Linked DNA regions of Canis lupus familiaris. The protein of the gene in region 2 interacts with the protein of the main gene of each other region in a pairwise test. Links are inferred from orthologs where the notes say so. Each region holds a gene or a part of one and is shown on either strand. Other genes may lie near its edges.

What was found.
Region 1: the proteins of SMAD1 (region 2) and PIAS4 interact in a two-hybrid assay, tested with the Homo sapiens proteins (2 studies listed by BioGRID and IntAct). The link is inferred for Canis lupus familiaris from reciprocal best matches to the Homo sapiens genes SMAD1 and PIAS4.
Region 3: the proteins of SMAD1 (region 2) and PSMB4 interact in binary tests that used the Homo sapiens proteins (3 or more experiments, as listed by UniProt). The link is inferred for Canis lupus familiaris from reciprocal best matches to the Homo sapiens genes SMAD1 and PSMB4.

What each region holds. Positions count from the first base shown.
Region 1 is NC_049241.1:55,943,262-55,950,556, reverse strand, and holds the start of PIAS4 (E3 SUMO-protein ligase PIAS4), read left to right. Parts: upstream 1-2,917; 5' UTR 2,918-2,932; coding exon 2,933-2,977; intron 2,978-5,375; exon of another isoform or gene 5,376-5,473; coding exon 5,474-5,900; intron 5,901-7,295.
Region 2 is NC_049236.1:44,457,372-44,463,253, forward strand, and holds part of SMAD1 (mothers against decapentaplegic homolog 1), read left to right. Parts: intron 1-2,313; coding exon 2,314-2,570; intron 2,571-5,779; coding exon 5,780-5,882. UniProt on the Homo sapiens protein: Transcriptional modulator that plays a role in various cellular processes, including embryonic development, cell differentiation, and tissue homeostasis.
Region 3 is NC_049238.1:61,117,151-61,124,440, forward strand, and holds PSMB4 (proteasome subunit beta type-4), read left to right. Parts: upstream 1-2,485; 5' UTR 2,486-2,517; coding exon 2,518-2,657; intron 2,658-2,888; coding exon 2,889-3,095; intron 3,096-3,376; coding exon 3,377-3,523; intron 3,524-3,699; coding exon 3,700-3,781; intron 3,782-4,145; coding exon 4,146-4,262; intron 4,263-4,468; coding exon 4,469-4,557; intron 4,558-4,758; coding exon 4,759-4,771; 3' UTR 4,772-4,879; downstream 4,880-7,290. UniProt on the Homo sapiens protein: Non-catalytic component of the 20S core proteasome complex involved in the proteolytic degradation of most intracellular proteins. This complex plays numerous essential roles within the cell by associating with different regulatory particles.

The DNA.
Region 1 (7,295 bases), on a different chromosome or scaffold from region 2:
GCACCGGGCCGCGCGGACGGGCTCCCCGCTGCACGCGCCGGAGGCCGCTGCGCCGGAGCCCCGGCCCCTCCCCCGACGCCGCCGGGCGTCCGGGCGCGCACCTGGCCGGCGGCCCAGCGCGGGGGCCGCGCACCTGGCTGCATTGTTGTCCCCTTCCCGCCCCACCGCCCGCCCCCACCTGTGCGTGACGCGTATCCCTTTAAGTAGCCAGACGCCGGCAGGGGTGGGCGTGGTCGCCGCGAGGGAGGCGCTGGGGGGGTGGGGGGGGGTGGGGGGGCAGCGTCGGGCCGTCCTGATTGGCCCGGGGCCCGGGCGGCGGTCGCACGCGCCTGCGCACTGCAGGGCAGCGCGCGCCGGGGGGGGGCAGGAGGGCGCGCGGTGCTAATTGGCCGCCGCCGCGGCCCCGCCCGCGAGTGGCGGGCGGTCACGTGACGCGACGGCTGGGGGCTCCCGGCGCGGGGGACGCTGGTGGCCAAGATGGCGGCGGAGCTGGTGGAGGCCAAAGTGAGTGAGCGGCGGCGGCGCCGGCCCGGGCGGGCGGGAGAAGGGGCGGGGGCCGGGCGGCGGGCGGAGGTCTGCGCCTTCCGCCCGGGGCCCCGCGGCGCGGCCCGCTTGCGGTTCGCCGCCCGGCCCCCTCGCCCGCCCCTGGCCCTGGCGCGCCGGGTGCGGGCGGGGGGCGGGGAGGCCGGGGGCGGGGCCCCCCAAACCTTACCCCAGCCTCCGCGCTGGGGGTTGGTTCCCGGGCGTGAGGCGGGGTCGCCCCCCCGCCCGCCCGAGGGGTTGGGGGCGAGTCTCCCGGAGCCTGGGCGCAGGGCCGCGCCTCCCGGACAGCCTGACGGGCTGGGCTGCTCGTCCCCTCCGCGCCCCGAGCCGGGCTCCTGCTCTTTGGCCTGGGGGAGCGTGTTCGCCTCGCCGCCCCCCGTGGCAGCGAGGGTCGGCCCCTGGGTCTCAGCCTCCCTGCCCAGCAGGCCGGCCGGGCTTGGCGACTCCCTGCTCAGAAGGGCCCCGTGCCCCTTGTGCCGCCGCTTCCCGCGCCCGGGGTGACGGGCCGGGGTCCCGAAGCACCCCCCAGACGCCGCGTCCGCTTGGGGGTTTGTACCCCGGGCTGGAGGTCGCCCCCCTGCTTCGGCTCCCGCGTTGGTCCCGGAGCCCCGCCCCCCTCCCGACACCGTCTCGCTCGCCCTCGGAGTGGGCACCGGGTCTCTCGAGTTTGCTCTCCCGCCTGGGATGGAGCCCTGCCCCTGTTCCCTGTTCAGAGCCTTCCTCCGTGCCCGTCTCCTCGGTCTTGGGTCCTGGGCTCTGCCTTGCTCCCCGTTTTTACTCTCGGGACAGCGTTTGTGAGATTTTGGACTCTGCTCCTGGGGTCTCTCAACTTCACGCTAACAGAATTAGACCCTGTGCCGGCTGTTTCCTTTATACTCCCAAGTGCTTCTACTGAGGTGGTACTGTGTCTACGCAGCTCCCCAGAACCTACTTTAGATCCCTTTATACGCCCCAACTCTGGCTTCTGAGGCTGCCTCTTCCCTTCTGCTGGTTTCTTGTGTTGGTTCATGGAGAGTGCTTCTCCACCCTCTCTCTTTAGTGCTTCTAGTGCTTCTCCCTCATGCTCCATTTTGGGGTCCAGGTTCCACATCCCATAGAGGCCATTTCTGTTCCAGGGGTACTGTCTTCCAGGTACCTTGCCCCACACTACAGTGGGGTTGTTCCCTTCCTCCCTGAGAAGTTTACTCCAGGCCTTTGGTGGCCGGGAGGTGGGAGACCGGACCTTTCCTGGACAGAGGCTCCGCCTTTTCCCCTCCCACTGATCTTCCCTCCCCAGGTCCTGACCTGTAAATGTTTTCTTTCTCCTGTTCCTCTCTCTCCCTCCATCTCCCTTCTCTTCCTGCGGAGATCTGAAATGCAGTTCCCTTCCCCCTGGAGCGTCCCCCTCAATGCCTGTACTACACTCTGCCCTTCTGTAGGGTTTTGAGAAATTGGGACTTGCCCTGGAGATGTGGAAGTCTGAACTCTGCATGCCCAAGGTAGCAGCCAGTGGGCTTGAGGACCCCCGGAGCCCTCAAATAAAGCCGTCCCATAGGGCTGTGACTCTGGGTGTACCCCACCCCCCACCCGGTCCCAGTCCCAGCCAGACGGTAGGGACTGAATTCTTTTATACCATCCAGGGCCTTGAAATATGATCTCATGAACTCTACTTGACCCTCCGGTGGCTGGGGCCCCCACCCCAATTAAATCAAGTTGACCCTTTTTTCAAGTTCTCTAGAACGTGAGCCTCTGTTCAGTGACACAGCTCGCTCCGAGCCTCGGGCGCCTTTCTTTAGTCTGTGGCTGCCACTGTGGAGTGTCTTAGGTGTCGTTGAAGTGTTCTCTTCTTTTAGGTGCTTACCTAGCCTTTTGTAGTAACAGGGGCTGGAGATTTTGTCTTTTGGAGTTCAAAACAGGCTGGTCCTCAGGGAGAATGACAGGGGCTTGTTGGTAAACTTGGAAATCCGCCTTTGCCTGAGGCCCCTGTGAGGGCTTGGGGAGAAGAGGCAGTCTGGGAACCCCTTGAGATGGGAGCATTTTGCACAGATCTCCCATTTCCTGGCGATAAGGACCTTAACTTTCCGCCACATTCAGAGGAACCTATACCCGAGACGGGTTAAGTTAAGCGCGGCAGCTCTATCCAGGCTGATGTTTTTCCACATAGCTCCAAACAAGCCCAGAGTTGAGACTCTGGAAGCCGTGGGGGCCTGGTGCTGTTTATAAACACAGATCTGAGGGGCAGGCGGGTAGGATGAAGCCATGGCAGGAAGTGATTTGCAAAGTGCTTGGGGCTTCTTCCTGAATGTTTGTGCCCCTCTCACACTGTCCCCCCTCCCAGTGTCAAGGGCAGGCTCCTTGGTGGTGGCAGCTGCTGAGAAATCCGAGTCGTGAACATATGGCAGCTTGAGGGATGTGCCCCAGGATGCTTGTGCGGCAGCTCCGGATGTCCAACCTGGTGAAAGGGCTGGGCCATGGCGGGGGCAGGGTGCTCCCAGGGGCGGGGTGATGGTAGAAGATGTGTTGTGGTCAGACTCGGCACACCGAGCCCACCTGCCTTTAGCTCCGTGGAGGGCACTCAGCTTCCACATGACGTCTCCTCTCCCCTCCAAGGCCTTGGGCCTCTTCCAGAAGAAACATCTTGTCTGCAAGCCTATTTTCTCTGCTCAAGGTAGGAAGTCAGGCCAAGGAAGGTGAAGTCTTTGTGTTTTTGTAAGCATTCTGGGCTCTCTGAGAGCCTACAGATTGCTTAAGTCCCAAGGCAGGAGGTGTGCTGGGATGTGAGGGGTCCCCAGGCCCCCAGATAGCTGGGTGGGAGTGGAAGGAAGTGCCCTTGGGACTCTGATGGCTCCTGCCACTGACACGTGGGGAGGCTCTGGGCCAGCCACGTTTTTCACGGGGCCTCGGTTTTCTAACCTGCCTGGTGGGCGTGGACCCTTGTGAGATTCGTGGCCGCAAAGAGCCCTTGTGCTTGGTGTGTGGCGGATGCTCCACATCTGTAGTGTGGGAATAGGAGGAAGGCCCTGCAGCGGGAAAAGGCTCCCCCTTGAGATTTTGCAGGCAGGATGGGCAGCCCCACATGTGTGTATCTGTCATTTTGTGCCTTGACAGCCTCTCTGCTATCAGCAGGAACCTGGTGGACGGCTGCCGAAATCTTAGAGGGCTCACATCTTGCATGGGTAGATGAGATGCCCAAAGTGCAGAGGGACCCTACAGAGGACCTGGGGTTGCCTAGGAACCCAGAGCTCCTGAGTCCTGGTGCTGCCCTCAGACTACACGCCTCACCCTTCAACAGCCAGGAAACGGGAAACACCAGAGCCTTCTGGCAGTGAGACTGCTACGTAAACACCCTGGCAGGGTTCCCACCCACCTCTAACTGTCAGACTCTCAAGTTGAATTTAAGGGCTTCATTGGTTTCCTTGGGTGCTGTCCTGCCCTGTGCCCGCCAGCTTCCCATATACACCTTCATCACTTGTACCTGTTTTCCCCATTCCCCTGGAAGTTTCTTTTTCCCCACCACATTTCATTCATTGCAGGCCAGCTTTGGGGCTCAGTGTGGGTGGCCCTGAAACCCTGCCGGCCTATCCATCCTTCAAGGATACTTTGCTTATGTAGCATATTGCGGAGTGTCAGTCCCCTTGGCGTCCCAGAGTCTCCCCGAGGCCAGGCTATGGTCAGGCCGCCCCAAAGAAAACATCAGCGTCAGCTGAGCTCTCGTGTTTGGTTTGATTTAGTCGGAGGGACCCTGCCAGGTAGTAAGTGCCAGACTCTGCTAGACCTCTTTCATCACTTTGCCACAGCTCACAGCCTCCGTGGCTGCTGTATTCCCAAAGCCTTCTCCTCAGACCCGTGGTTCTAAATGGGCCGAAACTGTTCCCAGGGCACACTTGGCAGTGTCTGGGGGACCTTTGTCATTATCACCACGGGAGCTTGGGGAGAGTTCCTGGCATCGAGTGGGTGGAGGTCAGGGATGCTGCTGAGTACCCAACAGTGCCCAGGATGGCCCCGCCCCAGAGAACAATCCAGTCCCAACGTCCACAGGGTCGAGGCAGAGAAGGCCTTCTGGAATGATCAGCAGACGTTTGATGTTCACCAGTGCTCAGCCCCATGTGGACACCCCTAGTGCAATAGAGAGAAATTACCCCTGGCTTTGGAGTCAGGCCTAGGTTTGAATCTTGGCTGTCATGTGGAGCTCCCCACAGCCCAGCAGGATTGTCATAAGAATCAGCGTTGAGTATATGATCACATGTGCAGCTCAGTTCCTGGCGAGTGATTGGTATTAAGTCGTGGCTACCATACTCCAGACTGAAGGGAAAATGTGTTTGTGGCCAACGTTGATTTTCTCTGCTTTCCGTATGTTACCTCATCTGGTCCTTCCCACATCCCAACGAAGTGGGTCCTGTCATCCTGACGAAGAGACTGAGGGTCACAGAGGCCATTAGTGTTCTTGGCTAGGGAGTGGCTGAGGCTGTTTACGGGTAAAGGAAGATTCCCAGTTCCTGCCCTGGGGATGCTTTCAGGCTTGAAGATGGGAAAAGAGAACTTAAAATAGAAGGCAGCGGTGTGTGTTGGGGGGGCGGTCAGAAGCTTTTGCTGCGTTGGCAGTGCTGAGGAAGGTTTGAGGAGGAAGAGGTGGAGGGGAGCAGGGTTAAGCTGGGAGGGGGCATCATAGGGAAGGGTGAGCGGGCAGCGTGAGCAAGGTCATGGAAGTGGGACTGAGCCTGGGCTGGTGGGCCTGGTGCCTACGCCTCCTCCTCCTCCTGGGCTCCTGCTCCTGCCCACCAGAGTGAAGGGGGTCTGGAGGGAGGGCCAGGCAGCACCTGATGGGCTCTCCTTTCGCTGTCCCCCCCGTTTAGGGCCCAGGTGGCTCCACGAAGCCCCTTGCCCCATTGGCAGTCCCCGAATCTGGCTGTGTCTCCTCTGAGCGTGTGTATCTGTGGTTGCTCTTCCCCAGAACATGGTGATGAGTTTCCGAGTCTCCGATCTTCAGATGCTCCTGGGTTTTGTTGGCCGGAGTAAGAGCGGACTTAAACACGAACTTGTCACCCGGGCCCTCCAGCTGGTCCAGTTTGACTGTAGCCCCGAGCTGTTCAAGAAAATCAAGGAGCTGTACGAAACGCGCTACGCCAAGAAGAGCTCAGAGCCTGTCCCCCAGCCCCACCGGCCCCTGGACCCCCTGACCATGCACTCAACCTACGATCGGGCTGGCACGGTGCCCAGGACTCCCCTCTCGGGCCCCAACATTGACTACCCCGTGCTCTATGGGAAGTACTTGAATGGACTTGGACGCTTGCCCACCAAGACCCTCAAGCCGGAAGTGCGTCTGGTGAAGCTTCCCTTCTTTAACATGCTGGATGAATTGCTGAAGCCTACAGAGCTGGGTGAGTCTGCCACCACCTGGGGGTGGGGGGCCCCGACCTGCACTCTCGCAGTGCCTCTGGGCAGCCACAGTCACTGACCCAGAGTGTCTCCTGGGAAGCAGTGAGGGCCAAGGGGTGGGGGTGGGAGGGCTTTCCTTCCCAGGAAGCACAAGAGCCTCCTCTGGATCTATCAGCAACCTGGTGAGTCGTCTCATGAGTACCCTGAATCTCAGTAGCTTAGCACCACAGGCACTCATCTGCTCTCAGCTTGTGAGGGTTAGAACTTGGGAGTGACTTAGTGGAGTGGTCCTGATACAACCTGATACACGGTCACTCATCAGGTCTCATCTGAAGGCCCGACTAGGGCTGGGGGCCACCCACTCCCATGCTTGCTGGCAGGTCTTGGTTTCTTGCTGGCTGTCAGCAGAGACCCCACTTCTTGCCATGTGGGTTCCATAGACTGCTTGAGCATCGTGACAGCGTGGAATGATGGCTTGCTTCCTTTGGAACCAGTGATGGTGTGGGAGAGTTAGTGTGCGCACTTGAGAGTGAATGATGTAGAACAGGGAGAAGCCAGAAGCAGCTAGAAGTCGTCTCCATGACCTCAGCTTGGAAGTGGCCTAACTGCCACACTCTATCAGTCACACAGAACAGCTCTGTGTTGTGGGCCAGGCCTGGACCATCGGAGGGAGGCATCTCTGGGGGCCACTGGGGATGCTGGCTTGTGTGCTCTAACTCCCTGTGGCAGAGGGGCTGGAAGTTGGATCTGATCTCCCTTCCTCCTGCAAAAGGCTTGTTTCCTGGTAGGCGGCCTTCGGAGTAACCTTGGCCAGTGGGGTGCAGTCTGGTCACCATGGGCCAGCTGGTTAGGGAATGGCTAGCTGTGCTCCCAAGAGGTGGGACACCGCCAGGAGTGTAGGAGACAATGCCAGGGCCCTGTGGTTCCTGTCTGCCATAGAGAAATTCTCTGACTCCCAAGGTTGATGGTGTGCTGCACATGGATGGGCCCCTGGTCTTTCTCCGGCATCTGTGGTAGTGGTGGGGTGGGTGGGCGTCAGCCTGGCCTCGGCCTCATGTGCTCCCACCAGCCACAGCTGCCTGCGCCTCCAGGGCTCCAGATGGCAAGTCTAGTAAGAGGGCTTCTTGGCCCCCCTTGGATTTGATGGGGTCCCTGTGTGGTCCTGGAGACCCCTTTTGTCATCATTCTTGTCTTCTTTGCCTTGAGAACCTGCCAGGTGGATGCCCATGGAAGCCCTCCCTGGGGACGCCCACCCCGGGGACATGGCAGGGAGCAAGCAGAGCACCCCACCCTCATGAAGGTTCCCTCCGGCAGTCCTGGAGGTGCCCCGAGCATGTGTCGGCACCGTGGGTCCTGCTGTCTCCCTGTAGCCCTCATCCCCATCTCCATTTCAACCT
Region 2 (5,882 bases):
ATCGCGCCCTGGGCCAAAGGCAGGCGCCAAACCGCTGAGCCACTCAGGGATCCCCAAGAATTTATTTTTAGAAACTATGTGCCAGTTTTCTTTAGTCCGGCAATAACCAGTTAGAAAATATAGTCGAGGAGAAAATCACATTTCCTGTACCAATAGAAAACATAACTTTTTGGAAATAGTCTGAATCAGCAATATATGAGAATTATGTAAAGAAAACTAAATTTTACTGAGAGAGAAAATTTAGATAAACAAATAAGCAGTCAGTGTTCCTTAAAGAGAAGACCTAATATTGTGAGACTATTTTAAAGATGTCTGTTCTTCCTATTTCAGTGTATGGTTTAAAACAATCCATGCCAGAATCATAATGTGTTATTTTTTGAAAGTTGGCAAATATGTTCTGATATGTTACCTGGGAGAACAAACGAGTGAAAATAGCTCCATTTTTTAATGGAGAAGTAAAGGAAAAACTCTTGATGTTAGGCTAATTAAATTATAAAACTACAGTTAAATCAGGGTGTAGACAAATGGCAAAATAAATTAAACTCAAACTATATTGTATTTCAAAATGAATGTATATTAAGTGAAGCATAACAAACCAGCAGTCTCCTAGTGGTCCTGCAGGAACGACATTAGCTTCTAAGTGAGGCTGTCGGGAGAAACCCTGACCTCAGTATCATATATGCAAATAGATTAATGAACTGAGGTTTTTTTTTAATGGCAAGCTATTAAGAAACTAGAAGAAAATACATTTGATCATAGAAGTAGAAATTTTTAAGCATAAAAAGCAATAGGAAAGATCATGAGATTTGACTACTGAAAGCTTTCAAACTTCTATAGATTAAAAAAAATACAAAGGACTAATGGGGAAACAAATAGGAAATAAATTATTTATATCTTACACACAGCTCATAAAAAAGTAATAAAAATACTAGAACCCCAGTGGGATAAATAGGTAAGAAATATGAACAGTAAGTTTGTAAGAGAAACACAGATGGCTAATAAAAATATGAGAGCATATCCAGTCTCACATGCAAATTAAAACAATACTGTTTTTCAGCTATAATTTATTTTAATTTATTTGTTTTTGTCTTAAGCTCACTCAGTCCTGGCATAGGCAAAATGAGAAAGGCATTCATACACTGCTTGTAGGGTGTAAATTGATACAAGCATTCTGGAAAGTCGTTTGGCAAAGTGAATCAGGAGCCTTCGATCCAGTGATTTAACTTCCAGGAATCTCTCCTAAGGATATTATCAAAAATTATCCAGAGATATTTATCCTGGCATTGGTATAACAGCAGAAAATGGGTATCAACACTATGATCCAATAATAGCAGAATGGCTAACGTAAATTGTTGTGTCCTTATAATCCCATCGATACTTTGAATGTTTGCAGAGAAAGTTTAACACTCAAAACCTGTAATCTAGTGCATCCAGCACTTACAGTTACTACCTTTACATTACTAAACAAGGGATAGTATTTGCTGCTTCATATTTTGTTTTACTTTCTAAATGTTCAAAAATGCAAATTCCTCATTTTTATTATCGGGGAAAAGAGTTAAACAGACACGCTCACTCTCTCTCTCTTAAATTGCTTTCTCTACATCAGGCAGGAAAATGGGCTTCTGCTCTAGCAGCTATTTAATCATTACGGAAGTCTTAGCCATTGTGTGTACATGTAAACACAACACATAATTTTTTAGATTGGATTGGAGACCATAGTTTTCACATTGGCTGAACCATGCTAGAGTTACCTGCAAGATAGATTGTTTAAAGCCATATGGGATGTGACTGTGTTCACTGCGTGGCCTATAATAATCTGCCATTAATGGTGTAGGACTTTGTCAGAATGCCCCCCACCGCCCCCACTTTCCTTTTTTTAAAGGCTGGGTAGGATCGATTTCCTACACTCCTGGCACTCTAAGATGTCACAGGAAGAAGTTTGGAGCAGATGGTAGTTCGGAGAGATCAGATTCCACATAGTATGAATTATTTTTATAATTTTCTTTTCCCCTCGACCTTACATCTTACAGCTCTTAGCACTACTTCCTCCACCTGTGGTTTTCTAGTTTTTTTACTTTTCTTGATCCTCCTTTGTTATATTATTTCCTAGAAACCTCTTAAATATACAAAATAACAAAGGGATATTGTATGAACTAATACAATTAACTAAGATTTTATCAGTTGTGCAAGATTTGGAGAATGTCTAGTTAGCCAAATTTTAGATCCATGCAGATTCATATATTGAAGTTACACAGATGCTTTTCAGCTGTGAAAAATGATAATGAAGACATTGCATGCATTGTCTTCCTACAGGAGTACATCTTTACTATGTTGGAGGGGAGGTGTACGCCGAATGCCTCAGTGACAGCAGTATCTTTGTGCAAAGTCGGAACTGCAACTACCATCATGGATTTCACCCCACTACTGTTTGCAAGATCCCCAGTGGGTGTAGTTTGAAAATTTTTAATAACCAAGAATTCGCTCAGTTATTGGCACAGTCTGTGAACCATGGCTTCGAGACAGTCTATGAGCTCACTAAAATGTGCACTATCCGCATGAGCTTTGTAAAGGTAAGTGAATTCTGATTCCTCTGGTCAGGGTTTGACACACTTGCTGCGCCTTCTCTTAGTTGTATATAAATCTGTATCTTCTTGGTATGTGCCCATAGAAGCCAACTTATTACCTAGACGTTTTTAAACTTTAGTGAGGATGTCAGTTACCAGGAGAATATAATTAGAATATAGGAGAGTTTGTATTACATGTTAGCAGCATAGGCGGCTTGACTAACTGTCCTATTTGAATAAGCACTATTTTAGTCATTGTAGTACCATAAAAGAATGTCTTGTTATACATTTAACTTGTATAATTTAAATGCATGGTTTTCTTAAGAGATCAATTCAGTAAACACACCCCCCTTCCTTTTCTTTTTATTCTGTGTTCTTAATACCTTTATGATGGTAATGATTGTTGCTTTAGTTTTGACAATGAACAAGTAATCTTTTTGTAAATAAAAATTCGTAACACTGGGTTTTTTGTTGTTTTTTTTTTCCCACTGGGGTTTATTTTTGATTGGTCAGACTTTTTTTAATGGTTGTGGCAAAAACTCACGATTTTCTTATAATTCAAAAATTAATAAGACCTTTGCCCACAAATGCCTTAGTTCTAAGATTATTGTTAGGGTTGAGAATGGGGAAGGTTAAAGACATTGTTCACGGTTAAGTGATCTCTTTTATGCATTTGCCTCTGAAAAATAAAAAGTTTTAAGATGTCATTGAAATGTAAAAACATTAAATATCTGGTTAGATTTTATGAGTTGTAACTTATTCTAATGACTGACTTGTCTCTGAATTCTCAAAGATAAATTTTCATCCTCTGTTACCTTGAGAAACAGAACTAATTATATATTTGGGTGAGGCAATCACCTTTTATGTCCTCTCTTTAGAAGCTCACCTAACTTGTTGTTAAACCTGTTTGTAATGTATGTGTTACAGAGGGTAATTTTGGAAACTTACTTTGTTAATCATCCTTTAGATCAAAGATACCTTTCCCTGAGTATCATTGTTTTCTTACTTCTTTGAATCATAGTAGCAGATTTTGACTGTGTTCTCTGAATGTTGGCTTTCTCAAAACATAATTCAGTAGTTCTTTGTGGCTGAGTCTGGTGCCTTTTTAGTATTAAAGGAGGGTTTTTACCTTTTAAAGGGATTTACCAATATGCTATGTACCTATGGGACTATAAAGATCTTTCTCAGCCACAGTTAACATTCACTGTTTCGTTTTTGACTTTGCGTTTTAGCTAAAATGAATTTTAAAATGAGGACAGTCACTTGCCAGCAGTGCTTTTTGTCTGTTGTTTACTGGTATGGAGGAAAGAATACCTGTTGAGAGTCAAGAGACCCAGGTTCTAGTTTTATCTGCCATTTTAACTGTGCGGTTAAGGCACAGGGATCCTTTGCTGATCCTCATGATTGTCATCTTTAAGACCGGTAGGTGGAGTTTGGGAACTGTGGTAATCATTACAAAGGTCCCTTGGTGAGTCTACTACTATTGAAGAACCACTCAAGAGGAAATTAATGACTCTACTGCTCCAACTGGCTTTCTCCTCATGCTCATTTCATATTGATTACCTAATTTTAATGGTTTTACTTTTATACATTTTAAAATATTTTTACACAAGTACAAACTTTACACTAATAAAAAGTGTTTATGATATAAAGATCTGCATTAACAATGTATTAGATTTCATTTATTAAGCAAATATTTTTAGCACCATTCCAGAGAATTAACGCAAAGATGTAAAAGCACCTAACGTCTCTAGGATCACAATGATAGTAGCCTATTACATGTTTAACTATAAAATAATGAGATGGAATGGAAGGTTATGGACATATAATAAATCATATATAATAAAGATATAATGGACATAGTTGGGAAGCTGGATTTGGAGAGTTATGGGTAAACAAATTTCGTTTTAAAACTCCTGCTGACATGATAAAGGGCAGCTGCTTATACATTTGCAACAACAACAACAAAATTCAATAGTGTTTGTGCAGTATTGTTCTTTATTATGATAAGGGTTGCATACCTTGCCCTGTCACTTAGCATCTTAGAGAAATGATACAGCACATTTTACTAATATTAATAGCCAATCTTGTGCTATTTTGAAGACCATCATTTTGGACTTTAAAGCATTCATTTTATAAATTATTTGCACAATGAACTCCCCATATATATCTGAAAAGTCCAAGTCAATTCAGCTGAACAGGTATTTCTTAGGGCTTCTGCTTTGTGCCAGTCACTGTGCTAGGTGTTTGAGATCAAAGATAAATAAGATCTGGTCTTCCCTGTCTTCAAAGAACTTACTATCTAATGTAGGAAACATGCACACAAACCTTTAAATTTAGCAATGTATTGATATAAGTACAAATGCATAGATGTATATCGGTATGCAGTTCATATATCACAACTTTTTCTTGAAGGTTCTGATGTTCATATGTATTTCTTGAAATTCCTGGAGTAGGTAGGTGTCAGAGATAAATAGAATCCAACCTTCTCTAACATCCCTCACGAAACAAGGATTTATCAGAGCTTTATTTTCCATTGCCCACACCAGTGAGTTTTTGATCTTTGCAATTGCAAAATTAGCTTTCTCTTTTGCAATTTTAGTGTACCAATTCAGTAATGCTGAAGATGTCTGGATGTATAGATCTATTATATACATATACATCCGTGTATACAATATGTAATGGAATCTATTGATTCAGAGCAATGATTAGGTGTCAATTATAGCTTTTTGGGTATGTATGTGCTTCTGCCAGTTTGCTTGGAGATAGAAAGATCAAAAGCACTTGTGTTGATAGGAGGACCACCAGTGAGTGAGTAGGCAAGAAGCAGAATGTCTGTTTGCCTAACAGTAACTTCTGTCTTATTTTCTTGATGGTAAAATGAGAATTTAATATGTTACAGTACCATCAGTAAGGTAGTGGGCAATGAAAATGAAAGTTAGAAAGTGCCTTCATTAAAACAGCCTTATAATGTGTTTTGAAACTTCCATTCCCCAAGACCAGTACTCTTGACCTGGAATCTATGTAAGGACTTCAGGGAGCCTTGAACACACCCATCCCCTGAAATTGCCTGCCTCTTACGTGTGTTTGTGTGCACAAGCACCTGTCATGGAAAGCATCCATGTCTTTAATCAGCATGTCTGATTATGAGAACTCTTCTTATAAGTTTAATCACGGAGTTAAGCAAGTGAAATGACCTCCAATGTGTCTTCTAGGGTTGGGGAGCCGAATACCACCGCCAGGATGTTACTAGCACCCCCTGCTGGATTGAGATCCACCTGCATGGCCCCCTCCAGTGGCTGGATAAAGTTCTTACTC
Region 3 (7,290 bases), on a different chromosome or scaffold from region 2:
TCAGGGCATGATCCTGGATTCCTGAGATCAAGTCCCACATCGGTCTTCCTGCATGGAGCCTGCTTCTTCCTCAGCCTGTGTCTCTGCCTCTCTGTGTGTGTGTCTCTCATGAATAAATAAGTAAAATCTTTAAAAAAACAACAACTTTAACTTTGGTGGGAGCACAATGTTAATTAAATTCAAAGTAACAGCCAACCATAGAAAATTAGGCACATTTAAAAAAGATTTTCTGGGCAGCCCAGGTGGTCCAGTGGTTTAGCGCCACCTTCCACCCAGGGCATGATCCTGGAGTCCCAGGATTGAGTCCTAGCGCAGGCTCCCTGCATGGAGCCTGCTTCTCCCTCTGCTTGTGTCCCTGCCTCTCTCTCTGTGTCTCTCATGAATAAATAAATAAAATCTTTAAAAAAATAATAAAATAAAAAAGATTTTCCAAAGGGGAACACCTGATTCTTGATTTAGCCTTGGGTCATGATCTCAGGGTTGTGAGATCAAGTCCCGTGTCTTGGCTCCATGCTGGGCATGGAACTTGCTTAAAATTTTCTCCCTCTCTCTTCTCCTCTTCCTCCCTCTCTTAAAGGATTCCCTCCCCCCAAAATTATACCAGACTGCTTTAAAAAGAGAAGAAGGAAATTTCCTAATTTCACTTGTTTCAGTTTAATTTATGCCTTATTTATACCTCAAAGCAGAAGACATGCTGGCCACCTGTTGTTGAGTATTGCATCATCAATTGTTGGTTTCAGAGCCATTCTTCACTCAGGCTGGATGATTTTAGGTCCTTTCATTTTTTCTTCATTTAGACCTGCCTGACTTCTGGAACTGGTACAGGCCCTACAAGATCCTTATTCCGGGGACCTACAAATGAGTGAGACCAAGAACCAGCAAGCCAGGTGGTCACTTCTAAACAGGGACATAGTCAGTTAATTGCTGATTAATTGATCTGATCAAATTATGAGGGCTCTGGCAGCTACAAATGATAAGGTATTTCATGTAGTTTTCAAGGAATCCCAGTAAACCACCATCCCATTAAGTGCCTACTATTTGTCCAAGTAAAACTGAGTGGCCCAAGAGTCACCTGGAATAATGGGTTTGGGGAGAGGAGGTGGCTATTTATTAGAGAGGAAAGTATATTTGTCAAGATCAAAAGGTGATACAGGGGGATCCCTGGGTGGCTCAGCGGTTTAGTACCTGCCTTTGGCCCAGGGCACGATCCTGTAGTCCCGGGATCGAGTCCCGCGTCCCGCGTGGGGCTCCAGGCATGGAGCCTGCCTCGCCCTCTGCCTGTGACTCTGCCTCTCTCTCTCTCTCTATCATAAATAAAATCTTAAAAAAAAAAAAAAGGTGATACAAAGGGTGTCAGTTGGGTGCCTCTAACACAAGATCTTGAACCTTCCTTTTTCCAGGGTTTCATGACCTAGTAAAATATTTTTTTTACATAATTAAACCTTCATGCATTGCTTTGGTTCAAATTAACTCAGAATTTTATTTCATTTTTAAGGATTTATTTATTTGAAAGAAAGAGAGAGAGAGATCACAAGCAGGGGGAAGGGTAGAGGGAGGGAGAGCAGCAGACTCCCCCTGAGAAGAGAGCTCAGAGCCCAAGCGGGACTGGGTCTCAGCACGGTGAGATGAGCCAAAATCTAGAGTCCCAGACTCAACAGACTGAGCCCCACTTAAGGAATTTTAAAAACAAAATTTGATTTGGTTTCCCACTGAGTAAAAAATTTGAATTCAAGTTGTGCGGGGAGACGTGGCAAAGTAGTGGTTTCGGATTCACCAGTCTGATTGTAGACACTGCTTCCACCTCCGGATACAGAACCACACTGGGAAGGGACTCCTGGAATTTCGTTTCAAGCCCATGGTCCATGGAGTTTTTCCGCTGCTTAGGGGGGGTGGGGGCGGGGGCAAAAGCATTTGACTGTACGGAAACTTTCAGACATCTGTCCAATCCCATAGAGTGAGTGCTCCCCCAGGGTATGCACACCTGGATGAATCCTTTTCTTATTCTGCGCTTGAGGACTCAGATCTACCTTTACTTGCTGTGTGGCCAGGCAAGTCACTACGCCACAAGACTTACTTATAAAATGGGTCGGATAATGCCTTTTACAAGGCTGTTTTGGGGAGTACAGACGTAAGAGATCACAGCTGACTGCTAGTTTCTTGGGTGGGGGTGGGTGGGGGCTTTTGACCAAGATCCAAAGCAGAACACGAGAATTTCTGCCTCCTCAGTGTCTCGCCATACCTACCTCCCAACCAATCTCCCCTTCATTGAATTTGTGCGTTCAGAGCACTCTGATCTAGTTCAGGCTCCGATGCGACGAGGCGGTATGCCGCGACGTCAGGCAATTCCAGCTGTCTGGGGCTCTGCGGCTGCGGCGGACTTCGAGGATCGCACCGCCAGCCGTAACCTCATCAACATGGCTGCTGGGAACAGCTGGCCGGAAGAAGTTGTGGACCCCAAGGCTCACTTCCGCTTCCGTTGGCGCAAGCGCCGTCATTTCTTCAGCCACCGTGACTAAGATGGAAGCCTTTCTGGAGTCGCGGTCCAGAGTTTGGGCCGGTGGTCCCGCCCCGGGGCAGTTTTACCACATCCCGCCTAGTTCCGTCGCCTCCGTGGAGCCGGCGTTTTCTCCTTACGGGGGTCCGGTTACGCGCACGCAGTAAGTTCTTGGCGTCCGAGCTGCGCAGGAGGCGGGACGCTGAGGCCTGGTCGAGCCGGACGGTTCGGAGGCAGCCGGGGAAGGCGCCCCAAGGCCCGCGAACGGCGGGGACCACGGCGCGGAGTCCCGGAGAATGGAAGGGGAGATGGAAAATCAGACGCGGAACCACTGCGCGGAAGAGGGCTCAGGCCCTTCTCCCGTGCCTCCCCTCATCTCCCTCCCTCTGTCTAGGAACCCCATGGTGACCGGGACCTCGGTCTTGGGTGTCAAATTCGAGGGTGGAGTGGTGATTGCAGCAGACATGCTGGGCTCCTATGGCTCCTTGGCTCGTTTCCGCAACATCTCTCGCATTATGCGAGTCAACGACAGCACCATGCTGGGTGCTTCCGGAGACTATGCAGATTTCCAGTATTTGAAGCAAGTTCTCGGCCAGATGGTGTAAGTTATCTGGAGATTAGGGAGTAGATCCCAAGTGGGGAGAGGAATTCACTGTATTGTTTTTAAATATCCCCTTAGAAGTTCTGGGGTGGGGGAATTTGAGGCTGTAGCGGAGGACAGGAGAATTGCTGAGGGTGGAAGATGATAGTGTGTGCAGCACATAGTTTTTGGCGTTAGGCAGTGTAAAATGAGGAAGATTGTGGTAACTTCTTTGGGGTGAGGGTGGATGGAATTCCCGACTTCCATTCTCTCCTTTTTTCTCATGACTTACTCCTTTTAAGGATTGATGAGGAGCTGTTGGGAGATGGACACAGCTATAGCCCTAGAGCTATTCATTCATGGCTGACCAGAGCCATGTACAGCCGTCGCTCCAAGATGAACCCCCTGTGGAACACCATGGTCATTGGAGGCTACGCTGATGGAGAGAGGTTGACTTGAAATAACTTAATTTCCCCGACTATCTAACCTCTAGTGTCTATGTAGTGTCTTGTCTCTTCTCCCTAAGAGAATGTCACTTCTCAGACCCCATGGCCCCATCCTTCTGCTAAGATACCCAAGAAAACCTAAGATGAAATTAGTTCTTTGACCTGTTGTGTCCTGTTAGCTTCCTCGGTTATGTGGACATGCTTGGTGTAGCTTATGAAGCCCCTTCGCTGGCCACTGGTTATGGTGCATACTTGGCTCAGGTACGTGCGGGAGAGGTGTGGGGGAGGCAGTGGGGGCTCGTCTCCTTGGTTCTTCTCTTAAAATTCCAATGTGAAGATAGACTAAGATCCCTCCTGCTGGCAGATAGTTTTCTTTGTAGTCTGAAAGCTGTATGTGTTGGCACTTACATTCTGTTGATAAAGTGGTGTGTCAGATTCAGTAGACATGTGCAGAGAGAAATGCCCTACAATTTACCCTTCAGGTTGGTGTTAGCACAAGTAAGCAGAATTCATTCTGGTGAGGCAGTAGGCAGAATGTCATTTTATGCTGCTTTTTACTTTGTGAATTTGGGACAGATGGGTATTCAACCCCTGGTAATCTCCCGTGTTCTTCCCATTTCCCTAGCCTCTGCTGCGAGAAGTTCTGGAGAAGCAGCCAGTCCTGAGCCAGACTGAGGCCCGAGAGCTAGTGGAACGCTGCATGCGAGTGCTTTATTATCGAGATGCCCGCTCCTATAACCGGGTGAGGAAGGACATGAATAATAGAGGATAGGACTCTTAACTAGCGAGCTGTCCATAGTTTCAGTACCTGGGTCTTTGCTTTTGAAGAACAGATTGCAGAATTTCCTATTTTCAGATTAGGGGAAGATCCTCTCCTTGACCTTTGAGCAGGCCTCAGGGACTTTATGTGGGGTGGGCATGTTCATTGGGAGTTCTGCTTTCTTTCAGTTTCAAATTGCCACAGTCACCGAAAAAGGTGTTGAAATAGAGGGACCACTCTCTGCAGAGACCAACTGGGAGATTGCTCACATGATCAGGTGACTGAAATTAAAGTTACAGAAGGAAAAATAAGTGGTAGAACAGTTGGGAGGCCCCTTGGCTTGCACTAAGCTGCATTTTTCTGGAGGTCTTAAAAGGATTCTTTGGACGGAGAGGGTTTTGGTTGGAGGATAGAGTTGCTTTTGGGAATTAATTCCTCCCCCTCTGCTTCACAGTTTTTAAATGCTCTTTCTTTTTAGTGGTTTTGAATGAAATTCAGATGCATTATCCAGAATTGAAGTTGTGCCCTTCTTCTAACTTTGAACTTGGCTGGTTCAAAGGTCTACTTTTCTACTGTAAAATAAATTCTTTGAAATGCTTGCTGAGTGGTTTTATTGTCTGACTAGGTCATACCAAGAGTGCAGGTGTGAAGTACTGCCATGTGCCATCTCCCTCCCTGGTCAGATAACCCTGCTTTGGCTCTCGATTCTTCGAGCAAATACAGGATTCTCTGAATGACAGTACAGGAGGATCCACTACCATCTTCATTTGGGCCTATACTAAAATAACAGCTTTGTATAGATGCCAGGCCTAATCTTTGTGGGATAACAAAAGTACTTAACGTTTTTCTTAAACATTGCCACCCATGTGCTAGATTCTTACTGATTTTCTGGTATGTTGGCTGCAAATATTTTAGTTAAAACACCATTTCAAAGAGAGAAATGTAGCATCTAGTAAAGCTGCTCTGGGTAAAGTTATTCCCAAGCAGGACTGGCCTGACAGCTTTAATACCTCACCCATGTTACCTCCTCACCTTCAATAGAGGAAATACAAAGTAATTTCATTTAATTTAAATGTTTATTGTCCAAATCTATCAGAAGACCTCTTTAAAGTATTATGTGTTCATTTAAAAGTCCTTTTAGCCATAAATCAAATCATTTGGAGTGTTAGCCAAATTCTCCCAAAATGGTGTTAAACCTGAATTTAAAAAATGAACACCCAGGGCACTTGGGTGGCTCACTGGTTGAGCGTCTGCCTCCGGCTCAGGTTGTGATCCCTGGGTCCTGGAATCTGGTCCCATATCGAGCTCCTCGCAGGGAGCCTACTTCTCCCTCTACCTAGGTCTCTGCCTCTCTCTGTCTCCTGAATAAATCTTTTAAATAAATAAATGAACCCCCTAGGTGATTCTGATGCATATCCTCTCTCGAATGCTTTGAGAAACTAGCATAGGTAGCAAACTCAAACTTGCAGAAGTTCAATGAGGTGAGAGAGTGGAGGGGGAGACTGAAATATCCCTGCATTTTATCATCCCATGTTATAACAAACTAGTAAGTCAAAGGAAACTTAGTTTTCTATTTGTCTTCCACATACTCAGTCTCAACACAGAAAGTAGTCAATAAATACTTTATTGATTAAACTGAATTATAAAAAAAACAAAACAAAAAAAATTTCCTTCTACTACTAAGCCATGCAGGCAGAATCCACAAATGTAACTTCCTGGCCAAAACCCAGCTGATCCACTGTTGGTGTTATATAGTCTTAAAAAAACTACCCATCAAGAAAGTCACAGTATGCAGAGGCCAGGAACCCAGCTCTGCTGAGGCTGGGGCTGCTGTGGAGACTACCAAAGAGAAGGTTAGGTCATTGTAGATAGTTGACCATAGTTCTTGAACTTTCTCAAAGGCAAAGGGTTGACTTCGAAGTCCATTTTAATGTCAAAATGGCATCAGGCAAAAAGCTGGGGAAGAGAAGCCCAAGAGAAGATAGATCCTCAGTTCACTTTTCAGATGCCATGGGTTCACGAAGCTGGCCAAGCTGTTTATGGGCAGGATCACTCCAGTTCACTATATTATAGTGTGCTGGGAGTTAAAAAACCAAAAAATGGAGGTGAGGAGAAACAGGCGTAACAAGTGTCACACCTGTACCACCAGGCCCATCACATCTTGAGCATGTCCCAGTCTGTGAAAGCCTACTAAAATAGGATTACCTAGAAAAAAAAAAAAACCACATTGTTTATAAATCCATTTCCCCTCATTTTATTAAATGTCCCACTTATATACATTTTAAAGATGAACCATTTACAAGCCTGTGCAGGCTGCCTCCTTGGCTCCCAGGAGGGACATGTTGCTGAAAGCCTTGGGATGGAAGGTGTAGCTGTGGGAAAGCTGGCCTTGGGTTTTTGTTCCTTTTCTCTGTATGATACAGTACATTTCAGTTTATAACTGTGAGTACATACAGTTAAAAAAAATCCCTCATGCAAATTGTAGAAACATTTTCTTTCCTTGAAGCTGGCAGTGAAAAATAAAGATTCGTGTCTTTCTTTGTGCACACCCCTGTGTGTTTCTTCTTCAGGTCACATTCTTCTCTAAGCATTAAGAGGAATAAGGAAAGCCACAGAGTAAGCAGGATTTCAACAAGTGGTCTTATTTTTAAAGTTCAACACTTAACTTCTTGCACAATTAGCTCCTGGATGTAGGACATGTGATCTCTTGAACAGGCATGCTGTCCACTTAACATGATGAAGACCCATACACTGGCTTCCACCCTAACACTGTGTGATCACCTCAGTACCTCTTGCTTGCTAATGACACATGTATGATCCTTTGTCCAGAGTAATGGTGTGAGCATGGGAAAAGGGGCCAAAGATCCCAAGTGCAAAGAATACTCATTTTGTCATGTTTTTGTTGGAGGGAGGGTGGTGAGGAAAAACAAATCTAATTCATCATTCTGGATGAGAGGTGGTTTCATGCATTTTTTTAAAGCCACAATTTTATATCTCTAAGAGTTGCTGT